Linked DNA regions of Drosophila melanogaster. Each later gene encodes a partner of the first gene's protein in a complex. Each region holds a gene or a part of one and is shown in the gene's direction. Other genes may lie near its edges.

The links.
Region 2: MED4 (region 1) and MED31 share a complex: the UniProt entries of both Drosophila melanogaster proteins name them as parts of the mediator complex.
Region 3: MED4 (region 1) and MED19 share a complex: the UniProt entries of both Drosophila melanogaster proteins name them as parts of the mediator complex.
Region 4: MED4 (region 1) and MED18 share a complex: the UniProt entries of both Drosophila melanogaster proteins name them as parts of the mediator complex.

Annotation. Positions count from the first base shown.
Region 1 is NT_037436.4:7,248,634-7,252,655, reverse strand, and holds MED4 (mediator complex subunit 4), read left to right. Parts: upstream 1-2,128; 5' UTR 2,129-2,211; coding exon 2,212-2,448; intron 2,449-2,506; coding exon 2,507-3,046; 3' UTR 3,047-3,127; downstream 3,128-4,022. Other genes in the region: CG14830 (uncharacterized protein), read left to right, coding at 458-480, 548-976, 1,038-1,557; Cdc27 (cell division cycle 27), read left to right, coding at 3,975-3,998. UniProt on the Drosophila melanogaster protein: Component of the Mediator complex, a coactivator involved in the regulated transcription of nearly all RNA polymerase II-dependent genes.
Region 2 is NT_033777.3:4,640,320-4,644,348, forward strand, and holds MED31 (mediator complex subunit 31), read left to right. Parts: upstream 1-1,643; 5' UTR 1,644-1,676; coding exon of another isoform or gene 1,677-1,689; exon of another isoform or gene 1,690-1,964; 5' UTR 1,965-2,081; coding exon 2,082-2,109; intron 2,110-2,249; coding exon 2,250-2,339; intron 2,340-2,431; coding exon 2,432-2,928; 3' UTR 2,929-2,973; downstream 2,974-4,029. Other genes in the region: nuclease slx1, read left to right, coding at 1,677-1,689, 3,225-4,029. UniProt on the Drosophila melanogaster protein: Component of the Mediator complex, a coactivator involved in the regulated transcription of nearly all RNA polymerase II-dependent genes.
Region 3 is NT_037436.4:17,842,968-17,848,563, reverse strand, and holds MED19 (mediator complex subunit 19), read left to right. Parts: upstream 1-2,062; 5' UTR 2,063-2,372; coding exon 2,373-2,810; intron 2,811-3,669; coding exon 3,670-3,784; intron 3,785-3,849; coding exon 3,850-4,310; 3' UTR 4,311-4,839; downstream 4,840-5,596. Other genes in the region: CG7430 (uncharacterized protein), read right to left, coding at 1-426, 490-1,017, 1,326-1,367; CG5567 (uncharacterized protein), read left to right, coding at 5,148-5,289. UniProt on the Drosophila melanogaster protein: Component of the Mediator complex, a coactivator involved in the regulated transcription of nearly all RNA polymerase II-dependent genes.
Region 4 is NC_004354.4:1,863,892-1,867,510, forward strand, and holds MED18 (mediator complex subunit 18), read left to right. Parts: upstream 1-2,017; 5' UTR 2,018-2,122; coding exon 2,123-2,247; intron 2,248-2,294; coding exon of another isoform or gene 2,295-2,317; coding exon 2,318-2,604; intron 2,605-2,671; coding exon 2,672-2,913; 3' UTR 2,914-2,996; downstream 2,997-3,619. Other genes in the region: Gcna (germ cell nuclear acidic peptidase), read right to left, coding at 1-216, 279-1,845; Pex5 (peroxin 5), read right to left, coding at 3,117-3,619. UniProt on the Drosophila melanogaster protein: Component of the Mediator complex, a coactivator involved in the regulated transcription of nearly all RNA polymerase II-dependent genes.

The DNA of each region.
Region 1 (4,022 bases):
CGCGTGTTTAATATTAGCAGGGTATCGCATTATTTTCAATTAAAAAACATTTTCTCTGGAGTTGCTTAAAATTTTTAATGATCCAGATGTTGCTCTCGAGTTTATGTGTAATTTTAATAAATATTAACTATTAAACTTTTACAACGAGCAGAGAACCCAGAGCCATGAAACTTTACGTTACGCTTGTGAAATTCAAACAAACCAGTTATTTTATTGAATATGGCTGCTGTCTGCAGTCGAATAAAACTTTCATCGCTCTAATTAAAAGTTCTAAGCTAGTCGATAAAGTGAAGCCAAAACCTAATTGCCATGAAGTCGAGCTCATCGTGTGTTTGTTTTGCTTTACTTACCCATTGCAGGCACCTCGAGGAATTGCTAGACGGGTCCATTAGCAGTCAATCAGCCGCAGAGAAGAGCCAGCAAAAGATACAGATACAGGCGGAGCAAAAGATACAGGATGCACGAGAGACAAGTGAAGAAGTGAGTAGCGCGGATGGGCCACTTAACGGCTAATACAGCGGCGATAACATTTGCGATCCAATTACAGGTTGAAGGGCAGCCATTATGTGGCCACGCACGGTCGCCTCACTCCGGATCCGCCCTACGTCCACTCGAACCGCGGCTATTCCACCGACGGCGATGAGACCCACTCCCACCGGGCGCCCTCGGAGCGCACCTATTCGGAGTACACGTTGACCCACGAGCGCATCTCGCCGCAGTACAATGGTTCGCGCAAGAAGCGCTCCTCATCCTCGAATGGAAACCATCAGCATCAGCACCTGCAGAGCAGCTACAGCCACAGTCAGATGGGCCTCTCCAGTTCGCCGGACAACGGAGGACCTCGCTCCCTCAGCGGACCGCCGCCCACGCGCCAGCCACCGCGTGCTCCGTCCGCCCTGAGCTATGACCAGGCTGGTGACGCCGGCAGCGACATCTATGTGACCAGTGCCGCCTACAAGGCGCCCTCCGAGATCAGGTGCGTTGTTACAACTATATAGCATATAACCCATATCTAAACTATCTATCATCCATTACAGTCGCTACAGTCAGCGTCCAGTGTCGCGAGGAGCTCCACGGAGTGTTTACTCCGTGGCCAGTACGGCCAAAACCGGACGCAGTGCGCGCTCGACGACTCGGCGAGGCGCCAAAGTGGAAACCATGTCCGCGCCGAATCCATTTTGCCCCAATGTCAAGGGCGTGTGCTGTCTGATGCTGTTGCTCAACTTGGGCCTGATCCTGGTGACGCTAGGATTCGTCATTGTGGTGCAGTTCTATGAGCCACTGTACGTGTGGATACTGGGAATTGTGTTCCTGGTCTTCGGCTTCCTCACGCTAATCGGCTGCATGATCTACTGTGTGTACGTGTTCCGGGATGCGAAGACGCCATCGCAGGTGCGCAACGAGGATCTCTACTGGACGCGGCACTGGCAGAAGAATATCGGATACACGCCGCAGGAGATCAACTACAAGGCGGACAAGTACGATGCCTACTCGGATCGCTATTCGGTTAGCAAGCTGAGTGGCAAATACTCGGATCGCGAGAGCCAGCGATACTGATTGTTATGCATATGTACATATGTATGTATGTACATACATATGCGGTTTGATGAAAGGGGATCCTTTGGGCGGAGAAGAAATATGAATAGCCACATATAAACCACTTATATCTTAACTAATTGTAAGACTATCTACTAGTTCTAAACGGTTATTAACAAGGCCCCTCCAACGTACCTGCTGCAAGTTGCTTGCTGGTTTGTATGTTTTAAGAGTGAAACTGACGGGAGACGCGAACGCGAGGATGCAACAGAGTATTGTAATCTGCCATATTTGAGAAGGTTTGTTAGGTTTGATTTGGCTAATCAACAGAAGAGTTTTATGCTAAAATTGTAACTGCAATTGTAACACACGAGAAATAAACAAGCAAATAATACCTACTAGAGATAACGCTGCGAATTTGTTTTATTTTTGAACAGTCTCTTCTACTCTTTGCTTTTGAGTACTTGATTCCCTTTTTTTTGAGTGTATGAAATAACCCATGTGGCAACTCCTATTAGTCTGGCAACCTCTCTGTTACGGTATTTTTACAACGTGGTATTAACAGCGCTCCGGAATACTATACGGTATATTTCAGCAATCGAAGAACGGCCACATTGCGGTGTGGAAAATAAACAAATTGCAATTATTGCTTAGCACAAACGATTTGCCGTGATAATGTCGTTTCATTTGAGCACAAAAGAGCGCCTTCTGCTCCTGATCGACGACATTGAGATGATTGCCAAGGAGTTGATCGAGCAGGCGCACCAGAAGATCTCCAGCACCGAATTGGTGGACCTGTTGGATTTGCTGGTGGCCAAAGATGAGGAATTTCGCAAAATGCTGGAACTGGCGGAGGAGCAGGCGAAAGTGGAGGAGGCGATGGACCAACTGCGCGCTAAGGTCGAGGTGCACGTAAGTAGAAGTTTTGCATTCCCCAAAAATAAGGTATAATCTGGATTTTCCCGCTTAGGACCGTGAGATCCAGAAGCTGCAAAAGTCGCTAAAGGATGCGGAGCTCATACTGTCCACGGCCATCTTCCAAGCGCGACAGAAACTGGCCAGCATCAATCAGGCCAACAAACGACCGGTTTCATCCGAGGAGCTCATCAAATACGCACATCGGATTAGCTCCGCCAATGCGGTCAGTGCTCCGCTCACCTGGTGCATAGGTGACCTGCGGCGTCCCTATCCCACGGACATTGAGATGCGCAACGGGCTGCTGGGTAAATCCGAGCAGAACATCAACGGCGGAACAGTGACCCACCAGAACAGCGGCATGCCCTCGGAGCAGCAGCGAACGCTGTCCGGTAGCGCAGGAAGTGGGAGTGGCAGTGGCGCCGGCGGCGAGGTGCCCAATGCCTTCCAGAACCAGTTTAACTGGAATCTCGGAGAGCTGCACATGACCATGGGCGCCTCTGGGAACACAGTGGCCCTGGAGACGCGCGCCCAGGACGATGTGGAGGTCATGTCCACGGATAGCTCAAGCTCCAGTTCCAGCGATTCGCAGTAGAATTGGATAAAAAACTATAACTAAATCTCGTTTAAGCTAGTAGTATTAGGTATTTAATAAAAGCGCGCTGTAAGGAAGTCTAGTTATGTATATATTTGAGTAGCTGGGATACATATCTAATTTTATGACCTTCTTTAATGATATTAATTTACAATTTAAATTGGCATTTAAAAAAATGCAAAGTTATGTATCAGTGGAAACAGCTTATAATAGCTTCGTGTCAAGAGCTTGGTACTTTTGCGCTAGTGCGATACGGTCCTCCTCAACCATATAAACAATCGATTGGCAGGGTCGCGTGCAATCGATACTTTGACAGCTCGCAATTATTTTAGCTTTGGTTTTTCAAATAAAATGGAATGCAACGCGTATGCAGCGTGTTTCAAGTAGCTAAAATGTGGCCAAGGTGTAGTCCAGTGTCGCCGCCAATCGCAGATCAGCCCCGTGTGCGTCTTTAACGAGAGATAAGCCCCGAAAACGATAGTAGAAAACCGACCCCCCGTTCGCAGTGTGTGTGTACAGAGGGCGAAGCGAAGCGAAGGCTCGACTCAAACCAATTGCAATATCAAATATAAAGAAAAAGTGGAAGTGGAAGGTGGAGTGGAGTGGAGGCCAGGGAGCGAGAGACACCGCCATCGCCACTTGCATCGCCGCATCCGCAATCGGGTTACATACGACACTCACATACCACACAGCCAGCCAGCACACAGGCCAAACTTTTACTTTTTCCCATTCGATATTGTTGGAAAAAATTTGGCCAAAAGAAAACAATTCGAATACAAATACAAACAGAAGAGTGTACGAGTGGGGGGCGACATGATAGTTTGTTTGAGTTCTACACACTGCATGTTTGAATTATTGTAAAGCCCTGAAGTACAGTGAACGTACATCTCATAGAGCGCCCCTAGAAAGTCGCACATACCGCCCAGACATGATGATTCAAGAGCCCGTGCAGGTAAATCAATAGCTCCTCGGTCCA
Region 2 (4,029 bases), on another chromosome or scaffold:
CGAAAACCGGTTTGCAACTGTAATGGAAAGCAAAAATGTAATGAGTTTTGTAGGCAGTCAGGTACGCCAGGACGACCCCCGGACAGGTAGTGCCAGCTGACACCCATAAACGCTAAGCTCAGACAGTTCTTTAAAATATACCAATAAATCTGCAGCTGTTCCTATGTGGAAAAGCCAACCGTTGGCTTTACCCCTTATGCACCCCCGTAAATAAAGCCGTGGTCATAGTTACAACACTAAACATTTTAATATTACCTATGAATTTTCCCACTTAAGAACATTGATTCATTTCACATGTATATAGGAAGATGTTTAGGAGTAAAGATCACTTTAGTCAAGAGTCGCGACTATGAGATACCCAGCACTCAGCGAAGACATTTATTTGATACGTTTCTAATAATCCTATTTTAACTATTATGACAATTGTATGGAACTACAGTGTTATATGCCAATTTGGGCGTTGTAGATCGTGGTCAGATCGACCAGGCCATTGGTCCGGATCGAAGAAACATTTACATTATAGGGTCGGAATCACTTTTTATACCAGTTACACACTGTACACTTTTCACTCTATAATACTGTTTTAGGTAATGGTCTATTTATCTCGAATTTAGATGTACGAATTAGTGTGGCAAACCAATCGATCAATTAAAATTGCGACTGTGGCTTGCCTAAGCGGACACAAAAGAGACTTACATTCGTAATTACATTGAAATGATTCAGAAGCCTATCAAGAAACAATCTTTGGTTCTATTTGGACGGCAGCTGTGCTGTGCTGTATAGATACATATGCACATATGTACATATGTGTACATCTGTATGCATCTGTATATGTATATACATTTCGGAGTTGTATTCAAGCAGAGCACACTGTAATCTAATAATAGATTCTTCGCCAACATGAATTTTTTGTGGATGATGATTAACCCGTCGAAATCGGGGAAATAGTTGGATATACATATATAATGTTTCATATGCACTTAAATTACATAATTTTGTTAATACTTACATTTCTGAATTGTGCGTCGCTGCTTCGCTTGTTCCTCAGCACAAAAATAGGTGCGGGGGCGTTCTGTCCACAGATAGAAATTAGTTTCACTCGTTGATTTCTCGTTTATTTAGCCTAAACTACGACTTTTTCAGTGGCTTGGTTCCGATTAGATATGTTTTACAGACGAAATTCAAGTTTTTCCTCGCTGCTTTTCAGGCTGACAAAAAAATCAGGCATTGTTCTCCACAGCGTTCGTCGTAGGCTTGTGAAAATACCGAATTAAATGCGCATCACATTAGGGGTAGTGAAATAAATACTGAAGGCTACACACAATTGTTAATTACATATTATAATTAAAAATTGTCAATGTTCTGGTCGGAATTTTATATTTTAATATAAATTTTAATTGTTTTATTATGATTATTTGTAGATACCATTGATCGCTGTACTTCTTGATACATACGCTCAGATTTGTTTAAACTTACTCTGGTATTAAAGATTTTTGTTGGTTAAAACAACCCTAATTCTAATTTTTAACACAGAAACATTTTCAAGAATACCGTTAGCACACACCAAGTAAAATATACGGAAAAGCAGTATTTTACGAAAAAAAAATCGTATTCGGATGAGCTTGCAGCCCTGGCGGGGACAGAAGTAGGGTTGTCGCCGGCCATCAACAATCCAAATGAACTCCTACGGTTTGTAGACAATATTAAAAACTGAATTTAACTGCCTTCCCACAAGAAATCACCAACACAAAGGGAGCGACAACCCACCGCCTGCGCCCAGAAACCTGGTCGACTGTTTTCCCGAGTTTTCTTTTGGCCCACAACCTGCGTTTGCTCTGTGCAGTCACTGCCGCGCCATACATTTTATTTCATTAGCGAAGCCCATATATATTTATAATTTTACTTGTGTGTTTTGTTTGCCGCGACGTTTCGTTTTCAATTCGATGGTGCACCAAAACACACAGCTCAGAACATCCACATAGCACACTGAAAGAAACCAAGAACCCAACCCGACACCGAAACTGAATAGACGCAAGTACCGACCCAACGAGACCCTTTCCAAAGCCAAAGACCAGTCCAAAATGGCCAAAATGTACGGAAAGGGTAAGAGTAAGTACACGCCAATCCACACCCATTTTCGCATTGTAATCTAACACCTACTGACACCGCTTGGCATGCCGAATCCTCAGAGATCTACCAAAAGTGGTGCTAATTTCTCAGGGACTAATGCTCTCCAATTTCTTCCGTAGCTGCTATCGAGTCGGAGGAGCTGCAGAAGCGACGCTGGCAGATCGAGCTGGAGTTCGTGCAGTGCCTGTCGAACCCCAACTATCTAAACTGTAAGAATAATATTACCTCGACCTACCTAATATTCACTTATTCACCATCTTGCGCGTATATCTAAATAAACAATTACAACGCCTTGTGCCAGTCCTTGCACAGCGTGGATTTTTCAAGGACCAGTCGTTCATCAACTACCTGAAGTATCTGCAGTACTGGAAGGAGCCGGACTATGCGAAATACCTCATGTACCCAATGTGCCTCTACTTCCTCGATCTGCTGCAGTACGAACACTTCCGCCGGGAGATCGTCAACTCGCAGTGCTGCAAGTTCATAGACGACCAGGCCATTCTGCAGTGGCAGCACTACACTCGCAAGCGCATCAAACTGATCGAAAACGTTACGGCCGCCCAGCAGCAACAACAGCAGCTTCAGCAGCAACAACAGCAGGCGAACGGCATGGAGGCAGCAACGGGAGGCGAATCAGCAGCACCTACCCCCAACGTGAACGGGTCAGCTTCCACGGCGGATAGTCAACAGACGTCTTCTGCCCTACAGCCTGTCCAAGCACAGCCTGGAAATCCCCAGCAGCAGCAGCAAATCAATGGCGTGGCATCGGGGGCCAACATAAAACTAGAGTTAAACTAGCGCTGGCAACTAAAAGTTTACCAATAAAATAGTATAAGAACCTGGAACAAGTTATTTTGCATTCCATTTATTATCTTCCTTTTTGGCTGAGAAACAGCTACCACTTAACACACCTTATTTTCTTAGCTATTTTAGCCAAACTAAAATTCTAAAATAATTTTATTTCTTTTTTTATTTTAGAAAATCTTGAAAACCTCATCTCATTGCTTTAGTTAGGGTGTCGCCTCCTTTGTCGTTGGTTTTTGGTTGCAGACACAAAGCAAGTTTCATTAATCTATCTGTTGGTGAATTCACAGACCCACAGGACACAGCTTCTCAACAGGAGGAATCCGTCGCGCTGAAGGGCCACTTCTACGGCGTCTATTTGCTATGCAGTCAGAGCTTGGATCCTCGCTACCGGGGAAAATGCTACGTGGGCTTCACCGTGAACCCCAAACGGCGGATACGCCAACACAATCTTGGTTGTGATTTCGGTGGCGCGAGGAAAACCAGTCGCAAAGGGCCGTGGCTGATGGTAATGATCGTGCACGGATTCCCGAATAATACAGTGGCACTCCAGTTTGAATGGGCTTGGCAACAGCCGTCGCTTTCAACTAGGCTTAAAATGTACCCTGAATTAAAACGAAAACTGCCCAGGGAGACGTTCTTTGACTACAACTTTAGGATCCTTAGTAATATGCTGGGGGTTGGCCCTTGGAATAGATTACCGCTCACCGTTCGCTGGCTAGAAACGGATTACGAGAGGCCATTCAGCAAGGCACTGCCTAAACACATGGAAATTGTGAGTGGCAAGGTTTCCATTAGTGCCTCACAACGTAGGAGACCTGATGATGCAGTACCTCCTCCACCTGTGGCGTGGGCTTCCGAGTGCCACCTTTGTATGCAGGAAATGGAGCAACCGGAGAAATCCCGCCTGGGATGCACAAATCAAATGTGTCGGCTGACATGCCATATGGTGTGCCTGGCCAATTACCTTCTGGGCGACGAGCCAGGTCATTACATCCCAGTTGGAGGAGAGTGTCCGCTTTGTGAGACTCGTCTCAGCTGGGCAGCACTGCTGCAGCGCAAACGTCTTCTTTTGGGCGTGCCTGAAGAACTGCA
Region 3 (5,596 bases), about 11 Mb from region 1:
GATCCTGCCGCGGTCATCCTTAACAATGCCCACGGCCTCCAGACCCAAACCTTCGGTGTAGGGACGACGTCCAACACTGACCAGCAGGGCGTCGCACTGGATCTCCTCTTTCTCGCCAGACTTGGCGTTCTCCACGGACACGGTGACGTTGTCGCCGCTGCGAGAGGCAGCCGTCACCTTGGTGCCCAGCTTGAACTTAAGACCCTGCTTGGTGAGCACCTTTTGGAACGTCTTGGAGACTTCGTTATCGATGCCCACGCCGCCGATCGTATCCATGAACTCAATGGCAGTGACCTCAGCGCCCAGACGCGACCATACCGAACCCAGCTCCAGGCCAATGACACCGGCGCCGATGACAACCAGATGCTTGGGCACCTTGGCCAGCTTCAGGGCGCCAGTGCTGCTCACAATAACTTCCTCGTCGATCTGTGAAGGTTTTTGAATGGCATGCATTAGTAATCAAGCGCGCTGTAGAGGTTTTGCACTTACTTCAATGCCAGGGAAGGGGGTAACCTCCGAGCCGGTGGCGATGAGGATGTTCTTGGTCTTGACAGTCTCCGTGGAGCCGTCGGATTTCTTAACCTCCACCTCGTTGGGATTGACGATGGTGCCGAAGCCCGTCAGCTGTGTGACCTTGTTCTTCTTGAAAAGCATGGCAATGCCACCGGTCAAAGCCTTCACGGCGTTGGACTTTTGACCCATAAGCTTCTCCAGATCCAGGCTAACGCTGCCGCAGCTAATACCACGTTTCTCCAGATCACCGGAGTGGGCCATGTGGTAGTAGTGGGAGTTGTTCAGCAGCGCCTTTGAGGGAATGCAGCCAACATTCAGGCAGGTGCCGCCCAGAGTTGCCTCCTTCTCCACGCTGACCGTCTTCATGCCCATCTGGGCGGCCTTGATGGCGGCGACATAGCCACCGGGTCCGGAGCCAATCACCACGATGTCCGCCTCGTGGGTGCTGGAGTAGCAGCGGGCGTTGAGGGCACCCAGAATGGCGGCATTGGTGCGCAGAGGAGTCTGTAAAGACGGCAGATTACTACATGTTGTGGCACCTTATCATTTATCACGCCAGTCGCACGCATTTCGCACTAATCTTCGGCCGACTATCAGCTGATAATTGGCCTAATTAGCGACCTTGAAAACGGGGCCAAACAAATCCCCAAACGCCAGTGAATCACCCACCGGGATCATATGAGCACTGCAGGTGATCCAAGTGCATTTTCCAGCCTTTTCCTGCCCATTTCTCGACCCCCTCGGTGAGGTTAGATTGCATAACTTGAGGGGCGATGGCGTTTGGGGAATCGGTTATGTCGCCCGATCCTTACCTTGGCTACTGCCGAAACAACATGACGGAGCGTGAATTGCATGGCTGGTGCGGGCGAGTTATGAGGATAATCGTTATTTAACTACAAACACAACACTAGTTTGATGTGTGTTTTTCCGACTGTTTTTCGTGTTGTGGGGCTCGGAGCGGTCGCAGGGCTGGCGATGTGCATTCGATAGTGGTCATATGATGGCCGCGATGCTATCGATTGTTTTGGTGATTTTCCACTCTGTTGGAATTTGAAATTCTAAAACATTTTCGTATGAAAAAGATGTGTATAAAAATATTAGCTTGATGATCGTTCAAAATACGATATGTCCGTCACTCAATTGCTAGTTTATACAATATTCACTTTATGGGTCATTTGTTGTAGCAAAAGCTACCTAAAAACAAGCCAACTATACGTGTAAGCCGGCTTTTATAGTTTTGGCACCCATTAATTAATGTTTTTGTACGTATAAAATAAACTGTAATAAATAAACTGTAAAATAACTGTTTTAAAAATATATAACTCAACGTACATACGATACATATATAATAAGAGTTCCAAAGTAATATTAACTTTATTATATCTATAGGTAATTAAAAATGTATTATACGATGAATATTCGATAGTTTGCCCTACAGTACAACCCTGTGTGGTATTCCCCATCTGGGATATTTCCCACAACACTTTTGGTATTTTCACGTCGCGTTCATCTCGCGTTTTCGTTGAAGCCTCAGTATTTCGCTAGCTGTCGCAATGCGGTCACACTGGTTCGCGGACACAACAAGATGGCGAGACTTGCCCCCGAAATCTGTTAGAAAACGCCACAAGAGCAAATAATTAGTTCAGTTTTCGACCAGAAAAGAGTCAGCCGAAGTGCCGGGCAGACGCGGCGCATTTTGCAGAGTGTGAGCTTGGCCAGCGTTGCCCGAGAGCCGCGACAGGCGACACCTTCTGCTGGCCTTGCCTTGTTGCTGTGCCCCTGTGTGCGTGAGCGTGTGCGGTGCGGTGCGATTGTGTGCGTGGGTTGCCAAGAGTGAAGAGAATCGCTGAGTTTCCAAGATGATGAGCAACTACGGCAACATGATGGACTCACCGAAGTCATCGCCCCACGGCGGCGGCCGATCACCCGTGGTGGCCCGTCAAGACTCATCCGGCACCCTGAAAACGACCATTTCGCTGGGCAAGACGCCAACGATCATTCACACGGGGCCATTTTACTCCATGAAGGAACCACCCGCCAAGGCAGAACTTACCGGCGACAAGGATCTCATGACCGAGTACGGACTGCACCACACACTCACCAAGTTCAAGGAGAAGAAGTTCAAGGAGTCGCTGGCCTCGTTTCTGCAGAACATCCCCGGCATTAACGACCTCATCACGCATCCCGTGGAGAATAGCACGCTGCGGAGCGTGATCGAAAAGCCGCCCATTGGTGGAAAGGAGCTTCTTCCGCTGACTCCCGTGCAGCTGGCCGGATTCCGCTTGCATCCCGGACCGGTTGGTTTTTCCAATATGCTTTTAATTCGCTTGCTCAGTTTGAAAAATGACGAATCTTTAGATACGGCACATTGAACATCTTAGAATACATTTAGACGCTATTCAATGCTTTGCGTCTCTATACATTTGCATGCATTAATTTCGCTTTTTAAAATTTGCATATGAAATTTGGATTTAAGTGTCCTTGCACAGACTGATCTACTATAAAGTGTTATTTGGTCGCACCTTTTCTGTCACTTATTTCTATAATCACCGTAGTATTTTAGAGTTGTAATTCATTTTCCTTATGTTCAACAACAAATTTGAAACACAAATATTTTAGTCATTAATCACAAAAATTACTTAAATTAACAAGAGTGTAAATGTTGGTTTTCCCTTTAAACCTCTTTTGAACAGTGTATATTAAGTCAGTAGTTCGCAACGCAGTGATCTATATGAACAGCTGAGTCGATAAGGCCATGTCCGCCTGCCCGTTTTCTTTCAGTTTTAAATTTTTGTTGCAAGTAGTGCATAAATCAGAACGCGCCAGTTTAGGCCACTAATTCATATTGCTGCCATATGGTTTAATATTATGATATTCAAAAAAAAAAAAAAAACTAACCTTCCTTGTTGACGGATTGTCCTTCCTTTCTTGTTATTGAAATATTGGCATTTAATATTATTGAGAGTTTTCTTTCACCCTATATGCAATCTAATAATAATAATAATTCATCTTAAAAGGTTTCGTGAAATATTTTTTACATGTCATATATTTCAAACAATGGATAAATCGTTACTAGAACAAATTGCATAAAATATATTATTTTTTTCCTCTGCACTTTCACATTGCTAATTTATCCGATTCTGGTGCTCCTTTCAGCTGCCGGAACAGTATCGTACCACATATGTCACACCTGCGCGTAAACACAAAAACAAACACAAAAAGCAAAAACACAAAGACGGGGTGACCACGGGACAGGAATCCACGCTGCTCGGTAAGCAATCTGCTGAATTATCGAGCAACTCGATCACACATAATCCAATGATAACCATCTTGCAGACTCGGCCGGCCTGGAGACTTACGAGAAAAAGCACAAGAAGCAGAAACGCCATGAGGACGACAAGGAGCGCAAGAAGCGCAAAAAGGAGAAAAAGCGTAAAAAGAAAAACCAGAGCCCCGAACCGGGCGTGGGCTTGCTGCCCGGAGGAGCGAGCTTGGGCGGAGCAGCGGGTGTAATGGGAGCCACTAGTCTGGGATCGCTGGGAGGAGGACCTGGAGGACCCGGGCTGTCCAGCCTTAGTGCCAGTATGGGACCTGGCGTTGTGGGGAACATGAATAGCTTCTCCTCATCGATGCAGATGCAGCAGCAACAGCAGATGCCCATGCAGCAACAGCAGATGTCAAGTGGCGGTCTGCTGGGATCTGTGCTGGGCACTAGTGGCGGTCCAGGTGGCGGCGGCGGAGGAGGAGGTGGTGGCGGGGGCGGCGTCGGTGGGAGTCTGCTTATGTCGCAGTTTTAGGCAGGATCCTTTAGCAAAATAGACTTGGCTCATTACCTCTCATCAGCAGACGCACCCCAAATGGCAACATAAAAAAAACGCAGAGGGCCTCGGTCCTCTACATGCAATTTTCTCGATATCGTTTCGTGTCCTAGTTATTAATTTATGATTATTGTAAATGTAAAATAGTTTATTTCTGTAATTAGCCAACAATTTTTCGTTCGTTTTCGCGCTAGCTTAATGAGATTTATTTAAACGCAAGTTATGGTACAAAACGCAAGAACGTTTTCGCTCTCGATTCCAGCTCTTCCCTCCACACAAACACACCCCTCGCCACGCCGCCACAAAAACGCTGCTTTGCAACCTCTTTAATTTGCTTACCAACCTTGTAACGTGTGTAGGGTCAGTATTTCAATTAAATTTCTGCAATGGTTTGTTCTTCCAGCAAGTTTATAAACACAAAAGAAAGCTGAGATTCAACAAAATAAAAATGCCTGTACTATAAGTAATTAATTTTAGTGATTAGGCACATAAAACAATAAACAAGCATAAAAATGATCAAAGTGTGTGTTTACAATAGTTTGGGGAGCTTAGTTCATTTTTCGAATATAAGCATTTGTTGCACAGAAGTTCTGCTTCCAAGGAGCCCTTAAATTCAAATTTGGCGCCAAACACTTGTTAGCACTCTGTTGACTTTAACATGGCGCATTAACAGCTACGCTGAAATCTGACAGATAGTAACATAGCCTTAACAGGCGCCAACAGCTGCTTTAATTCTCAGGGAGTTTCTCGCAATCGAGAGTCAATTAATAAATTAAAAGTGATGTGTATAAGATAGTCGTCGCTGCAAAGCCATAGATGAGTTGTAACTTCGCCAGATTTTCGCGACAGGCAGCTATCAACATGTACAAGCAGTCGTGCACCAATCTCCTGGAATTATCCTCCGCCAAGGTGACCGAGTGGCTAGCAGGCTTCGACAGTGTAATAACCGACTGCGATGGTAAGTCGGTGGTGGGGATGAGATACTACTAACTCGCACCCACCCAGGATTCCCCCCAGGAAGTTGCGTTACATAAAGATATGTGTATACCACATTCTGCCCAAATACGTCAGCAGCCAATAGTTTCTGTATTGTGGCTGCGTCGTTTATTTCAATGTCAAAGAGTGAAGTGCGTGATATGGCGGGAAGTCGACTTTCGGATGCCCTCATATCTTGTTAATCATCGTTATATTTAGTAAAGAGTAAAGCAGTAAAGAGCCGTTTGATAAATTCCCTAATGCTCATAGTGATGAGCCCTAAGTTTATT
Region 4 (3,619 bases), on another chromosome or scaffold:
TTTCGCTAAAAGTGGCATCTGCATCCTCGTCGTCGGAGGCGTCTGTCCCGCTGTCGGAATCTATGAGCTTGCGCCAGCGATCCTCGTCTATATGATTGGTGCGTGGGCGTGTCAACGGCTTTTGAGTCCGCGGACGTCTCTCCGTTTGGACAGCGCGCATCGGAGGCAGACGAGTCGAGTTTAAAGGAGTCTGATTTGTGCGCAGAGGTTTAGTAACTGGGGATTAAAGCGCGTGTGACTCAACGGTTGGAGGATAAAAAGCATGGATAAATTCTTACATATGCTGAAGTCCCCGAGAACACTTTCATCTGGCTTGGGCTTCTTTTTTTTAGCGGTGGTTACCGCTGTTGCTTGAATATTCCTGGGCCTCAGAGGAGCCTGTTTACCGCCACTACCACTGGAGCGCTTTAGAGTGCGGATCACATCTGGTGTCTGCCAAGACTTGCCGTACAATTGATTGAGCAGCTTTTCTGCGTGGGTGAGAAACTGCTCATCCTCGGATGCATCATCCACAGACAGCATGGATTTTTGGTGGCTCTGAGGGTCCTGCTGCTGGTGCTCTTGGTGCTGCACCTCCTCCGAGCTGGGCAGGGACTTAGTGGCCCTGGGCGAAGAGTAATGCTCATCGTCGTCTTCCGCCGAACTTGACTCCATAGTGGGAATGCTGATTTTAATGTTGATCTTCGCTGAAATATTAATACTGCTGACCTGGATAGAACCGTGTTCGTCCCCTCCCGATGTGGAGGAACCAGAGCTGGCCTTTTGCGGCGTGAGCTCGCCCTCGCTGCTGGTTTCCGGTATTTCAATGGATTCATCAGGAACGGGCTCATTGTTGTGAATCGTCGAGTTATGGGTCTCAGAACTATCAGAACACAGGGTGTTGGGCTCGGTGTCATTGTCTGCTAAACGCTTGCTGCTGTATGTGGGCTCAAGCTCCTCCGATCCGAGAGTATTCGCCTCCGTTTCGTCGTCTGCCAACCGCTTGCTGCTATCCAATCGAGTGGCATCTGCTGAGCAGATGGTATTCACCTGCGTATCGTTGTTCGCCAGTTGTGTGCTGTTGTAAATCGGCCTGGTAGTGGGTGGCTGCCAGTCCTCGTCGGTGGGCGACATGGATTCGGTGTCCGCATCGGCTAGACGGGATTGCCGCTGGCTGGAAGAGAGGGGGGGCGGTGTCAATGGGCCATTCCACTCCATCTCGCGTCGCTCTATGGACACATCGCGCAGAAAAGCCTCGATGCGCTGCACTTTTTCGGTTGTGAGCATGGGCTGTGGTATGTCTTCCTGGCCGGGATTAGCCACAATTTCCCGTTCACTCACAGCCATGCTATCGGGAGGCAAGGGTTCTTGCTCATCCTCGCTAGAATCGGATATGGTGATACAGGAGGCGGCGTCGTCGTCGCCGGATACGTTCTCTTCCGTAGTGGAGGAAATGCAAATGGAGATCTCCGGCTTGGCCGAGTGCTCCTCATTTATGGGCTGCACTTTCAAATTGCTGATGCCAGCGGACAGGAGCTCTACATCGCCCACATTTGCCACATCCTGGCTGCAGCCGTCGGCGCTCAGCTGCAAGGCTTCCATGTAGTCGGAATTGTCGAGTTCTGTGTCCTCCGTATTTGCCCCGCAGGACGGAGCGGGTGCTCCCACATTGGCGCGCATGGGAGCTGCTGGCAGTTTCCTTGTTTTCTGGTCGTTCCTCTTTTCTGGATGATCCTTCGGCGCATGGGACACCTGGAGTCGTTTTTTGTGGGAGGATAGCGTCAAATTGGCGAACTTTTGATTGAAGGGAACTTTTACTTTGCTCGGGTCGACCGCATTGAAGAGCCTATACTTATGATCCGCCATTTTGGGGGCGTCGTTGGGGCATTTACGGTAAATCAATCTCTATGAATATGCTTTAAGCAAAATTCGTATTTGCTATTATTCTGTGCGCGTCGATTTACGTTCATCGTTATCGATAGACTATTTGATTTTCCGGCATCTAGCTAGTGCTGTTCGAAAATGTCTAAAACGGCATCACTAGTAAAACGAATTCTTCCAAGGAAATGAAACTAAAAACAAAACCAAACTACTGCTCAGTTAATTTAATACCATAGTACACCCAAACTTACAAAATTAGCCAATGGCGATTGTGTCGTCGGCCCGTGAGTCGCTCTCCCATGCGATGAACAACCGCTTCTTGCCCAACCTGGAGTACTTGCTGCAGGGATCTATCCTGGATTCCGCCGTGGAACACTTGATGCACAGGTGGGAGACCCAGTGTCAGATTTGAATCGTTTGCACCCGACTAACAGTCTAACCGCCTACCCACTATCAGACTAAAGGGACTCTGCGACAATGTGGACACCTCGCCGGAGCCGTTTCACGATCTGGAAGTGTGTATGAGCCTTCGCCAGCCCAATGCCAACCAGCCGCTGCTTCTTCGCGTGCGCCGAGCCCTTGGTCGCGATGCACCCTTTCAGATGCGCTACCTAGGAAACCCCGAGGTGGATCTGCGCCGGCCTACATTGGTACGCAGCTGCATGGACTGCGCCTGCACCAATGGCATTTTGGAATTCCTCACGGAAATGGGCTTCCGCCTGGAGTTCGAGTACATAGCAAAGGGTTGGAATCATGAAATATATTACGCTTGGGTTGCCAAAATGGATAGTGACAAATGGACTTATTTCAGGCTATATGTTCCGCAAGGGGCGCATGAAGATTACCGTCTCCAAGCTCATTAAGATTGTGCCCGGCAAGCAGCAGGACATGGCCAACGAGCCAATCTCACAAAGCTACATAGTGGAACTCTCTGTGGTGGCGCCAACGGGGCAGGAGAATGTCGGCGAGGAAATGCGCGTGTTTGCCGAGCAACTAAAGCCACTCGTGCAGCTCGAGAAGATCGACTACAAGCGACTGGGCGGCATGCCGTAGTTTACAATAAAAGTGCACATCGCATTTATCCAACAGTTATTTAATTTCTTAAATGTAAGAAAATATACAAATTTACAGAAAAGAACCGAGAGGGAATGATTACACTGCCAGAGTAAAAAATATCTCAAATTCAACCTTACACACCCACATGACACGACAACAACGGACTTTCCCAAAGCAGTGATAAAGAAGCTGCGGGGCGGTTAATCCTTAAAGGCCTCATTAAGAGCCGCCAGATTGCGATCGCTCACATAACTCTGGAGATCGCTGCGGCCCATCAGCGAAATGACCATCTTCAGCGTACTCCAAATAGACTCGGACATCTGGTTCTGTCCTCTAAAGGTAGCCGCCATCGCCGCATTGGGCAGCTCTCGGGCGGCGTTAGTGTGAGCCTGCATGGTAAGCGCTGTGAGTAAGTGCTCCACAGCTTCCTTGTAGGCCTTAAGGTTCATGCAACATACGCCCACGTTGTAACGCACACGGATGAAGCCCGGTTGGAGCTGCAGCGCCTGCTGATAAGCCTCCACCGCCTCCACGGAGCGCGAGCCGTTGGCCAAACTGGCCCCCAATCGGTTCCATGTCTTCGCATTTTGGGGATCCACCTGCAGAGCGGACTGGTAGCAGTCCACCGCCTTGTCGAACTCCCCAGATAGATTGTAGAGCACGCCGAGGGCATCCTGGACTTCGGCATCCACCTCCGAAGGGT